Linked DNA regions of Styela clava. The protein of the gene in region 1 purifies or fractionates together with the protein of each later gene. This does not show direct contact. Links are inferred from orthologs where the notes say so. Each region holds a gene or a part of one and is shown on either strand. Other genes may lie near its edges.

Region 1 (7,728 bases):
TCTTCGAACAGATGGATTATTATCTTTCAAGCAATTAGTAATGCTATTCATTCTCGTCTCATTAAGTAAAGACGATATTGAATGGGAATCAGTCAGAATAAGAATAGCAGCTTTTCTGACAAATGGATTAGGATCCAACAAGTCATTTGATATAGAGTTTGTGATGTGCAACCAAATTTCTGAATCATGTTCCCCAACAAATGAAAGGTACAAATATACAATCTTTTTCACCCGTACATCTTTAACTTGAGTCAGCTGTATAACCGAATTCAACACACGTGTAGACTCAAGTAATTCACCATCACACATTCTCAAAAGATCTTTCAGTATTTCCAATATTGCTTGAGAATTCCTATTTAAGTCTGTTGATAATTCCTTAGAAAGTCTACGACTGATATCATGGGAGGAATCATAATTCATTCTAACAATAGAGCTGTTTAGTATCTAAAAAAGAAAATACAAAAAAGATGGACATAATTTAAAAATAAGGCCTAAGATATAGTGAAAAGATAAACTGTAATATTCTGAAATAGAATATAAATACTATTCCAAATTTGATCAATCAGGATCTCAAGCAAATGACATGAAATTTACAGCAAAACTGTTATCAATATTATCACAGTAAATTCCGTTTTTACAGCATATTTGCTGATAAGATGAAAGAGCCCCCGTCATAATCCATTAGCGACATATGATTTGATGCATATAGACCTGTACATACAATCCTCTTGACTAGAATTATGACCAAAACAGTACAATTGAAATATCAAAGGGCCAAGATATTCAAACATAAAGTAAGACTATAATTTGAGAAGAGATTATCATTTCGCATCTTATTATAAATAGCTCTTTCTTGTTCAAGTTTATTGACGAAGATGAATCAATGGGACAGCAAGTTTTATTCAAATAATATATGATTGATTGCCCTGAAATTCCATCTGCAATTTTAACAAGAACTATCTGCCGGTTTGAATCGCTAGTCCCAAATGGGTGATTCACTTCGCCCTCAAGTTTTTTTGAATGATTGAACTTGATGGCAAAAAATATTCTTGTGTGTCCTGCAAATCAGGTTCTTTCTTTATCTCTTTCCCTCTTCTTTTTCTTTTCTTTTTTCTTCTTTTTCTTTTCACCATCTTCATGTTTTTTCTTTTTATGCTTTCTGGGCTCAAATTCTTCTCCTTCATTAATATGAGTATTTTGCATTGGGTCTGACCTACGTTTTTTATGATGCTTGCTTTTTCGTCGTGTTGAGTCAATTGATTGATATAAGGAACGATAATGATCAGGCAAAGGCCCAGGATGCAAACGGAAACTTGATAATAAAGGCTGTGATAGTGGTTGAATTTCTTTATTACCAACAGGGGGTCGATCGATCAACGCTTTTAAACTACTATTGTCTTGTATTGCAAGTGTGTCAATAAACCCAGGCAAATCCGGAAGAAATGAACTTAAATTTTCTTTTACTTTCTTTCCGCCGCAAAATTTGTTATATGTTGTTTCTAAATTGTAATGTGCTAGAAGATTTGTGCTTCCCGATACAACTGATGGCTCAACCTGATCTTTTAATAAATATATCCCAGTAGAAGTGCACACAGGAGGTTCAGATTTTTCAATGTTCATTTGCTGTGTCTCCATTGTGGCAGGCTGTTGGAAAAAATCATGTGAAAAATTCATACGATCATTATTAGGATGGCTACCTAATCCGGAGCTAGGAATCTGGTGATCGCCACCTTGCAAACTTATATTCATTTTACTTGTTTATGACTTAAAGCTGGAAAAATGAAATTTAATGTTAGTTCAAACAATATCGAAATATTAAAGAGGTTGACAGACTAAAGATTAACCTGATTGTCTCATGCATCATCATGAATATATCGATCAAAAGTTGGTCATCATCTTTGAAAAGATTATTTCAAATATATTACAGAATAATAATTATACAACCTGATAAACCATTGGGTTTCAACCTCTTGGTAGGGGCAGAACCCAATGAAACATTCCAGAAGCTTAAGCAACCCCTGTGCAATTGATTATATATGTTTATTTCATTATATTTGTTATCATAAAATATGCCAATTGAAATACTAAATTTGACACAGAACATGTGAAGGGACCGTTTCCCATTGCAAAAATAGCCCCCACATTAAAACACAATTATAACAGTACAAACCCCTCTTTCACTAGGTATAATAACGGTAGAGAGAGAGAGAGATTTTATTTCCACAAAACAATGTTAAGAAAGGACAATAGGTACAGATTTTTATAGAAATACAGTACAGTGAATATTTAAACATTGATTCGTGTTGGTCAGTATGCAGGCTCCGACCATTTTTTTTACGCTGTGGTCGAACTGTCAGTATGGATTAAAAAAATATGAAATTATAAAATAAAGACATAAAATGAGTCGGCTGATAAAAAAATATTTCTACTCTTCAATACTTTACATCAGATTTATTGTATAGTTGTATAGGGCATGTGTAAAATTGTATTACTACACTTTAATCAAGTACAATGGTGATCACATCCACAGAACCCTTTTTTTATCCACAGAACCTGGTTCCGTATAAAAAAGAGAGAGATATTTGGTACTTTGTCAACCAAGATACAAACAGTCATCAATACGAAAAAAAATGTAACGAAAATAAAATAAAAATTGCTTTGATATGGACGGGAGGGAGTGATACGAGTCACGACCATGCGATCATCGAACTCAACTCCAATCCTATTTGCTGATGTGATTAACGTTCGCATTGAAAATGATTATTAGAAAAGCTGGTCTGCCAAATAGAGAGTACTGTACTTTAACAAATTCAATATATAATTCAGAGAAAATCGCATTGCTGTATTGTTAGGTTATTTAAAGACATTGAAGATTACTGATATAAACTCGGATCATTCCCTACAACTGTATACTGTTTCCCATCAAATTGTTTAAAATTTTACGGACGCTTATAAATAATGAAAGAAAAATGTTTCCCTCTCTTCTGCGCTGTTTCGCGCTGTATTTAGTAAGTATTACGACCACTCATTTGAACAATAAAATTCATGGGCTTTAGATGATGGTAAACAATAACCGGGTCTCCCTAAAACCAGGCACTCGCGAATTCAGGCACTTTTTCAGGCACCATTTTAGGCACTTTGATATTTTTTTATTTTTACCGTACGTCATTGGGATTTCCAATTTACCTGACAAGATAATTGGACTTTAAATAATTTTTGCATCCCTATATTGCAATAAAACAATATTATTTCCAATTTATTAGGGTATAAATAATTTTTCAATAGTAAAATGTGGCAACATTGATTACAAAATATAGAAATCAGGCACTTGTGAAATTTCAGGCACTTGGTCAAAACCTATTTTACAATGTATCTGATTACTCTAAAGCAGAAAATTGAATATAAACACTTTGTATGGTTGAATTTACAACTTCTTGGTAAAATACAATACCGTTTGTGACTGATGGAGGCGTGTCATATTTCGCAAGTGCCTGATTTTTCATTTTTCTCGGTGACAGTTGCCATATTTTTTCGCAATTATTTTCCTAAATTATTTGCGTCAGCACTTACTATTCTTTGCTTTCTAACGCAAATTCACTGTTCCACAACAATTTGAGCGTTTTTAATATTGCAATGAGCAATACCATTTGACAACATATGGTCAACCATCGCACTTTCTGGATTTATTTGAAATTGAATATGAATAATAAAATCTGGCAACCTCAAGCACAAAATACTAAAACCAGGCACTTGTGCAATCTTTCAATCTTTATATGTAACTATAAGTGAACATTATATGCGCGTGGAAACTATATTCAATATGTAAAAATATTCTGGCTGAAAATGCTGCTAGCTTCACAGTGGTCTTGTGAAATTTCAGGCACTTCGTAAAAACATATTTCTCGGTGTTTTTATACACTTTGAAGCAGAAAACTAAAATATACACTCTTTTTTATGATTGAAATGACGTCTTTTTGGTAAAAAACAAAAACGATTGGGACTGGTGATGAGGGGTCAAATTTCGCAAGTGCCTGATTTTTCATTTTTTTCGATAACAGGTGCCATATATTTTCGCAACAATTTTTCTAAATTATTTGAGTTAGAACTTACTAATCATTGCTTTTTAAAATAAATTCCTAGTTCTACAACAATTTTAGCGTTTTTACAATGAGCAATATTATTTGACAACATATAGATAAACATCGTACTTTTTGGATTTATTTGAAATTGAATAGGAATGATAAAATCTGGCAACAGCAAGCACAAAATACTAAAACCAGGCACTTGTGAAATTTCAGGCACTTTGTAAAAACCTATTTCTCGATGTTCATACTTACTTTGAAGCAGAAAACTAAAATATACACTCTTTTGTATGATTGAAATGACGTCTTTTTTGGTAAAAAAGAAAAACGATTGGGACTTGTGATGAGGGGTCAAATTTCGCAAGTGCCTGATTTTTCATTTTTTTCGATTACAGTTGCCATATATTTTTGCAATATATTTCATAAAATCATTTTCGTCAGAACTTAGTACTTACTATACTTTGCTTTCTCGGTAAAATGTTTTTTTAGGCAATCCGATGTATATTGAGTGCTATTCTTATCGCTAATTTCAATTCGACGTCTGCCCGAAGGTGGTGCAAGTATTTATATTGGAAGTGAGTACATACCTCTTCAAAACGCCCAGATGGAAGATTGAACAAGTCGGAGTCAACAAAAATTCAATCACATTTGGAACGTTGTCGCACTGCATCGTCGCCACTCATATACTCTGACATTCCGATGCATGAATTTTGCTTTCTGGAAAATAATAATTGGAGTGTCTGTTAAAGTGCGAAATGTATACGGGAGCACGTACAATATCAATGCTTCGTTTGCAAGCGTTGGTATCATGATACATGTGAGAAAGTATCAAAAGCGAAATTGTGGAAGTGTAAAATTTGTATTCGGTAAGTCGGTGTTGCAAATGTGGGTATTTTCAGGGCGCTCCCGTAGTAGCCTATGTGCTCCAAGATGGCGCACAACCTATTACCTCTATCTTGGTACACATACTATGTTCGGGTTATGTGCCAACTTTGTGCACATACTACGGCAGCACCATTTTCTGCACAACCTGTTCTGATGCTCTTTCGCGACATGAAGAAACTATACGCCCGACATATAAAAGTAGCAAAATATACACAAAACCTTTTCATGTTCAATTTCAGAACTGACATTTAAAATTCTTTTTCTTTTTTTTCAATTCTTAGATCTGTGGTTTTACCTAATTGCAAGATACGTAAATCATATCATGTCAAAATAGAACAAATAGTAAGGATTTTCATTGGATACTCAATATTTCTAATAATTTTTAATCTGAAAGCTTCGATTAGTGTTCACTCATACACTTCCTTTGTGAAGTTGTGTTTTTAATGTTTTATCTCCTCAATAAATTTAAATTCAAATTTATATCCCCAATTACTGATGAAGAAAGATCTATAATCGAGAGATTAATACGGCTTCTGTGACATTAAAAACAAAAACTGTTTTACGTTTTTATATATTTGTAACTTTTTGAATAACGCAAAAAAATTCGTTGACTGACTACTGGCGTGTTGAATATTGAAGGATTTTTATTGTAACATTCGTTTAACGATGCTTTTAAGCCTAACTTTGGGCATATCAGCTACCTGATGTCATTCGCCGAGTGAATTTTGTTTAGGTGACATTGCCATCTCGTATTTACAATCCTGTAGCCATTCTTCTTATTTAGGAACTACGTGTTTTACAGTTAGCTGTTACAGCATGAAATAATGTACAAATAATTCTACGTAAACTATCCATGAAATCCATTCCATAAACTATCCATGAAAAGATATTACAGTCAGATCTTCAGGTTGTAAAGAATATTATACAACAGCAACAGCAAGTGATTGAATATCTTTATTGTAGCCGTGGTTGAACACCGCTGGTTGTCAATATGGATTTTGCACAGGCTTTTATACATTTTGTGAACGGTAAATTATGTTCTATTAGGGGATAATGTAACTTGGATACGTATTATAAAAAATTCTATACGACATAAGTCAATTGTTTCTGTTATGTAGTTTATATGAAGTCATAGGCCAAAATTACATTATTAAAATCGTCGTCCGATAACAATTAAAACTGGAATTTCGAACTAATATTGCCAGAAGACAAATTAGGTTCTTTATAACAATGCGATTGTTGCTACCTGGGTAATATATTACGTCGAAATGTTTATAACAAATTAGTAGAAGTTTTGAACCAATTTCAAGGGTTCCGAACATTACTATAAAGATGTCGTCTGAATAACTAATATTCTTTACAGATCTGTCAAATTTAAACCCGTATTTAAATAATACATATGTCATACTTTTGAATTTAAAAAAAATAAACAACACAATGTCATTCAAACTTTACAATATTCAAATAGTTTTGCAAAAGCGTGATTGGTTTAATTAAATACCGATTTCCGGATGTAGATACTGATGTTAAAAGTTTAATTCCATTTATGCTAAGTGGAGCTCTCATACAAACATTGACTTTTATAAAATAATGCAATAGGGAAACAACATATAAAAAAAAGACAAAAATTATAGAGATATGGCAACTATCATTGACAAAACCAAAAAATCAGGCACTTGCTAAATTTGCCACATTTTTACCAGTGACAGTTCTTCTTGTTTTGAACAATAAAAATACCAAATTCAGTCATACAAAATATGTATATTTGGATTTTCGGCTTTAAAGTAATCAAAAACATCGGGAAATGGTTTTTTACAAAGTGCCTGAAATTTCACAAGTGCCTGATTTTAGTATTTTGTGCTTGCGGTTGCCAGATTTTATCATTCCTATTCAATTTCAAATAAATCCAAAAAGTACGATGGTTATCTATATGTTGTCAAATGCTATTGCTCATTGCAATATTAAAAACGCTGAAATTGTTGTAGAACTAGGAATTTCCTTTAAAAAGCAATGATTAGTAAGTTCTGACGAAAAAGATTTTATGAAAAGTATTGCAAAAATATGTGGCAACTGTAATCGAAAAAAATGAAAAATCAGGCACTTGCGAAATTTGACCCCTCATCACAAGTCCCAATCGTTTTTCTTTTTTACCAAAAAAAACGTCATTTCAATCATACAAAAAAGTGTATATTTTAGTTTTCTGCTTCAAAGTAAATATAAACATCGAGAAATAGGTTTTTACGAAGTGCCTGAAATTTCACAAGTGCCTGGTTTTAGTATTTTGTGCTTGAGGTTGCCAGATTTTATCATTCATATTCAATTTCAAATAAATCCAGAAAGTACGATGGTTGACCATATGTTGTCAAATGGTATTGCTCATTGCAATATTAAAAACGCTCAAATTGATGTGGAACAATGAATTTGCGTTAGAAAGCAAAGAATAGTAAGTGTTGACGCAAATAATCTAGAAAAATTGTTGCGAAAATATATGGCAACTGTTATCGAAAAAAATGAAAAATCAGGCACTTGCGAAATTTGACCCCTCATCACCATTTCCAATCGTTCTTGTTTTTTACCAAAAAGACGTCATTTCAATCATACAAAAGAGTGTATATTTTAGTTTTCTGCTTCAAAGTAAGTAAAAACATCGAGAAATAGGTTTTTACGAAGTGCCTGAAATTTCACAAGTGCCTGGTTTTAGTATTTTGTGCTTGAGGTTGCCAGATTTTATTATTCATATTCAATTTCAAATAAATCCAGA
Region 2 (5,589 bases), on another chromosome or scaffold:
CTCATTTTCATGATAAGTATTTTCATGTGTATGGAAATGAGTCACAAAATTTCGATGACATTATGTCTATTGTGTCTGCAGATTTATAGAGGTGATAGAAATATATACCATCCAGCACTTTGATCAAGAAATCCCATTCAGGTGTAATATTTTCTACCTAATTTTTTTTATTTGAATGCCATTTGAACAGATGATACAAGAGTTATTTGGATTAGGAAGAAATTAGTGTGATGATATTCAAAATTATTACTCATAGGAAAAAGTGATGATTTTCTGTGATTCTGTGAATTCCCATTTTCATAGAACACAATGATTCATATACCGTATCTAAATTTATCTAACAAAATTATTCACAAGACAGACTTAAATTCTAAACTATTCTGAGTCTTCATATTTAATCCTTCAGCTTTATAAAACTTTTTTTTTTATATATAGAAAATGGATACACACTAACACACAAACATAAATAATCTGAAAACTCACCAGCAGCCCCTGCTCCAATAACAGCTACATTCAAAACTTTCATTTTGATATCAAGAATCAATTACCCAGTAATATATAGAATATCATTTAGGAATACTCAATATAGATTCTAAAAAATGATGGCAGTTTTAAGATAATAAAAAATGTATGCAGTATCATAATTTCAAACAAAATTTGAATACACATAATTGTGACATTAATTTTGTCTGGCAACACACAATGTAGAAATAAGAGTATTGTTCTGTGTCATACAGCTCACCTAAACTTCTGAAACCAGCAGGTAAACGCTCATTTTTCAATTGTGGTTAGAAATTTTTTTGACCCCGATAATGACCTATTAAATAATGTTTAAAAACCAATTTAAAATCAAGACATTTACTAGACCATGGAATAGTATAATTATTTTAATAGATTTCAAGTCGTCCACCAGTAGATGACAGTTTGGAAGCCAGCCGCACTTCGTCAATATCCTAGTTCGATTTGAACATGCATAGTAGCTATAGCTTTACTCAAACAAACGTAGTAATCCATACGGTCTCGTAAAGTCCAAGTTACTCAATTATCAACTCTTCAATACCCCAGTCCTCATAACTACCATCCGGTAAATATCTTCGAACAATAATAGGAATCTTTTTTGCTTTTAGTTCTTTCATTGCGATTTGTAGAGGGTCAGTTTCTCCTTCTAATTCTACCATCACAGGAGCATTCATTGATATTTGTAGCGCCCTGGTTCCCAACACACGGGCACGTTCATATTTCGTCATATAAGGTGAAGTAATACGATTCGCAGGACTTATAGGGCCTGCTTCATGGGCATCTAGAATCCCAACACCTCCTTCTTCTTGATTATCATCATTAGCATCTTCCACATCCTCCATCCCTTCTCCTTCATCATCAAATCCTTCATCAAAACCATCATCCTCATGATCAGACATTTTCTCAGGATCCAAGTACAATAAACTATTTATAAATTACTGCTAGAAATCTGTAATGTAAAGTTTCTATTTCACTACTGACATCAATAACAAAAACATTGAAAACAATCAAAATTTTACAAGTTAACTAACTACTGGAAGATAAAGCATACCCAGAATAGATTTCATTTTCATTATTCAATCTGTATAACGAGAAGAAAGAGCTTATAACCAAATGTTAACTATTTTATAACAACTAACTTATAACAATTTCAATTGAAGATTCTGATATAAAATGCTTTTCTTGCTCTAATAAGTAATGCAAATCTTTATATATGCATTTTTTGGTCAAAATTTAAATATTCTTCTATTATGGGTATACTTAATCAACTAGGCATGGGTCATTAATAATATTAAGTCATGAAATTGTCAGGTGAAATGTTAGATGCTGCTCCAAACAATAAAGAACACTAACATGAATAAAAGCTCATATTGTCAAAACAAGGTACTATCGATCTTTTTAATAACTGCAGTGTAATGATAAAATTCATAACCCAATCAACATTGGCTATACTCGTACACGAGCACTTATAACTTTTAAGATTTGCAAAAATACAATAAGATGAACAGCCTTCATTCCCTGGGGTTCAGACGGAATTATGTTGACGCATTATTACTCAAAAATGAGCTCAGGAGCCATTAATAAGGGTAGTCTATCTGCTGTTGTAGATGGAGAAAATTTCAATGAAAAAATTGTTGAATTCCAAGACCCACGGGAGTGTAGTATCGGTCGTTATATTTGCTATTCTAATAATTGAAAAAACCCCAAGACAATCATTAAAAGATATTATAGTGGCATTACTGAGTATTCTAGCAGAGGGATTTGAAAGAAATAGAAGTTATATTCGCCAACATTCACCGATTACTTCTGTGAATTTAACATACATTATTAGGAGTGGTTTAATACAATGACTTGTTTTCCTTGTACTGACATTAATTGGAATGAACATCAATTATGTTAGAAAGTGGAATATATTTAAAAATTAAAGAACTTTTCAAATTACAGAACTATAGTAGTTAGTGAAGATCTCATATCGTGACTCAAATTAACATATAAAATCAGGAACAAAAACAGAATTCAGCAAGCATATAATGTCCTATTATGATACAATGATATTTGGTATTATGCCATTTTCAACACTTTCTCTAAGAATTGATAGCAATTTAAGAAATTCAATAAAAAATGAACTAATGTTGCAGTACAAAATTTCCCACAAGAAATTGGAATTCCTTTCAAAAATTTGACAATATACAAGAACATAATAGCGATCACATTTCTTAGGATGTAAATATGGTAATCGTTCCTTTATAGAAAACTGAACAAATTACAGTTGGGATAATTTTTTTTGGCTTTTTTTTCACTGTGTATAAGCAAATCCACAAAAGCAAGCTACGAAACTGAAGCAGCAAAACGATACATCAAATAATAATGTCAGGTACAGATGTAAAACTACCATTACTTTGTATTGGGCTTTCAAAAAACATCTACCAAACATCAAAATTGTTACAAGTATAAAACAGCTACCTAATATCCTGTACTGGATAATTTCCAGAGATCATTTAAAATTGAAATATCAAATTTATTACGAATCAAGTAATAATCATGGAAAAAATTTATGATGACATGAATTTACTTGTACCAGTTTCATGCAGTGCCTATTGTGTGTTTTAAAACGGGATGAATAAAGCACTGTACATGCGCAACTTATTGGCGAGAGCGGAATTTTTTGTATGCATGTGTACAATTATCTGCATTTGTTTTTGTGTGTGACATTATTACCGATCAGTCGATCGCGAGCTATTTTGAATATTTTAGTCGATCGCGGTAGAAAACATGTTGGCTATCCCTGCTATATCCTATATGGCATGGTATCCAAGCAGTTTAACAAAAACTGATACTTTGCTGATTCCGTCTTTTCAAATATTTACTATACATCAGTAGTAACCATAGTGGAAACGTATGACAAATTTTTGAAGTTTAGTACAATAGTCTTATTGAACAAAAATATAAAGACTAATTTCATCACTAGGCGGAAAAAATCTCTCAAAGAGAAGGGTAAGTTTGGTCAACGATTTTTGGAAAGTATACTCACATATGTTACGATTAGTCAGTGAATGTCACATTGGAAAGTCCTCAATAGTGTCATATAACATCGAAATATCCAAATAGAATCATTCATAGTTTTAAAAATGACATTTTACATGTAAAAAATTACATTGAACATATTTATTAAAAAAAATGAAATAGCATTGAATTGAAACCAAGTATTCAGCAATACAGACATCAACTAAATATTCCAAGCATATTGTCAAGTTCTTTATATTATTAACATGTTTTCATTGTTTCTTTATTAGCCTATCTATTTTCTATAAGCTGTGGGATTGCTAACTGGCTACTTCATTACAAACCAAACAATTATTTTCAGTGCTAATTTAGATATTGAGATGTGCAAATGACGGTTGCCATACATAACAAGTTGATCAAGTCACAATATTACATACTAAAGTTACATTTTGCAAATTCCAATTATCCAGTCAGTCAGTTTTATACTATTCATTCAATTGTTACTGTAGATGCTTATACATATTCAAAAAATTCTTAATCTTTGGCATCATTGGATTCCACGTCCTGCAAGACGACATCTTCTGTTTGATCACATGCGTCATCTCCCGCCATATCCGATGTCCAAAGGGTCAAGTTGTCCCTCAGTAGCTGCATGATCAGTGTTGAATCCTTGTACGATGCCTCACTCAAGGTGTCCAATTCTGCAATCGCACTATCAAAAGCTGTTCTTGCGAGTTCGCATGCCTCTGTGGGCTGATTTAGGATCTCATAGTAGAAAACAGAGAAGTTGAGAGCCAGTCCTAAGCGAATAGGATCCGTGGAACGCAAACTTTTCTTTGCCAATTCTCTAGCTTCGTCATATGCCTTCAAGCTTTTTTCTGCAGCTTTCCCTCTGTTATCTCCCGATTGATATTCAGCGATATACCTCTGATAATCTCCTTTCATCTTCAGATAGAATACTTTAGACTCATCATCTGCTGAATTCGGAAATAAATGCTCATCAATTAGATCCATTATTTCACGACAAGTGCTGCTCAATTCCTCTTCTATAACACTACGATATTCTTGCAGAATGGATAACTTTTCATTGTCGACAGTTTCACTGTCTTTTAACTTTGACTCTATGCTGGAAAGTATTCTCCAAGAAGCTCTTCTAGCACCAATAACATTCTTGTAAGCAACAGAGAGAAGATTTCTTTCTTCAACAGTGAGAGGGCGACCAACTTCAGCAACTTTCTTCATGCATTTCACCATATCATCAAATCTTTCCATTTGCTCAGACAATTTTGCCTCATAGACAACGATATCGAGTTCAGCCATTTTTAGATTTTTAATAAAGCTCAAACTAGGAATTGGTGATAAATCTGAATATTAAAATAAAGCTCATTGCATGATTGATGAGATAATGAAAATTGTACAAAGCAGTGATAGAAAGCATATATTTACATACAATAAACACCAACCTGAGGCTAATTAAAATTCAAGATAATTATATTTTCAAGTCAAATTCAATAGAGCCATTGAAAACAAGGAAAATGGAGGGTACGGACTAAGGAATACCTCTTTATATAAAATCTCAATATTGCACTATTCAAATTTGCAAAATATTTCAATCGCATATTCATGTAACATTATAAAGGTGAAATCAAAAATTATACACAGTTCAACGTCCGCATAAGGCAAAACAATAATATTGAATTTGTTATTGAAAAATAATTAAATGTAACAATATGTATACTAATGCAGTACCAAAAAGCGAAATAAAAATAAAACATACCGAATATAACGACGAAACAACAGCACTTATTTGCTCTTATTGGATGATTACTGATGAATTACAAATAAATGCAATGAAATTCAAGATGAAGAAAGCAAAACTTATTTTCTCTATTCTCAACACTACATATAAAAACACTATAAGGAATGACACATTTGAAAGTCAGCATACTGAAATTTGGCAAAAAAAGAAATTAATGAAAATAATATAACTATGACATACAGTTATACACAAGAACATAAAGTTCATGTTATTTCATCTACTGAAACCAATTTCTGATATATGTGAAA

The links.
Region 2: the proteins of mediator of RNA polymerase II transcription subunit 19-like (region 1) and DNA-directed RNA polymerases I, II, and III subunit RPABC2-like purify together in Homo sapiens (affinity purification with mass spectrometry; 3 studies listed by BioGRID and IntAct, with this or other methods). This does not show direct contact. The link is inferred for Styela clava from reciprocal best matches to the Homo sapiens genes MED19 and POLR2F.

What each region holds. Positions count from the first base shown.
Region 1 is NC_135257.1:12,132,879-12,140,606, reverse strand, and holds mediator of RNA polymerase II transcription subunit 19-like, read right to left. Parts: upstream 3,069-7,728; 5' UTR 1,750-3,068; coding exon 1,066-1,749; 3' UTR 444-1,065; downstream 1-443. Other genes in the region: AP-4 complex subunit beta-1-like, read right to left, coding at 1-420. UniProt on the Homo sapiens protein: Component of the Mediator complex, a coactivator involved in the regulated transcription of nearly all RNA polymerase II-dependent genes.
Region 2 is NC_135263.1:9,242,160-9,247,748, reverse strand, and holds DNA-directed RNA polymerases I, II, and III subunit RPABC2-like, read right to left. Parts: upstream 1,430-5,589; 5' UTR 1,419-1,429; coding exon 1,035-1,418; 3' UTR 591-1,034; downstream 1-590. Other genes in the region: uncharacterized protein LOC120340860, read right to left, coding at 484-526; 14-3-3 protein zeta-like, read right to left, coding at 4,057-4,842. UniProt on the Homo sapiens protein: DNA-dependent RNA polymerase catalyzes the transcription of DNA into RNA using the four ribonucleoside triphosphates as substrates.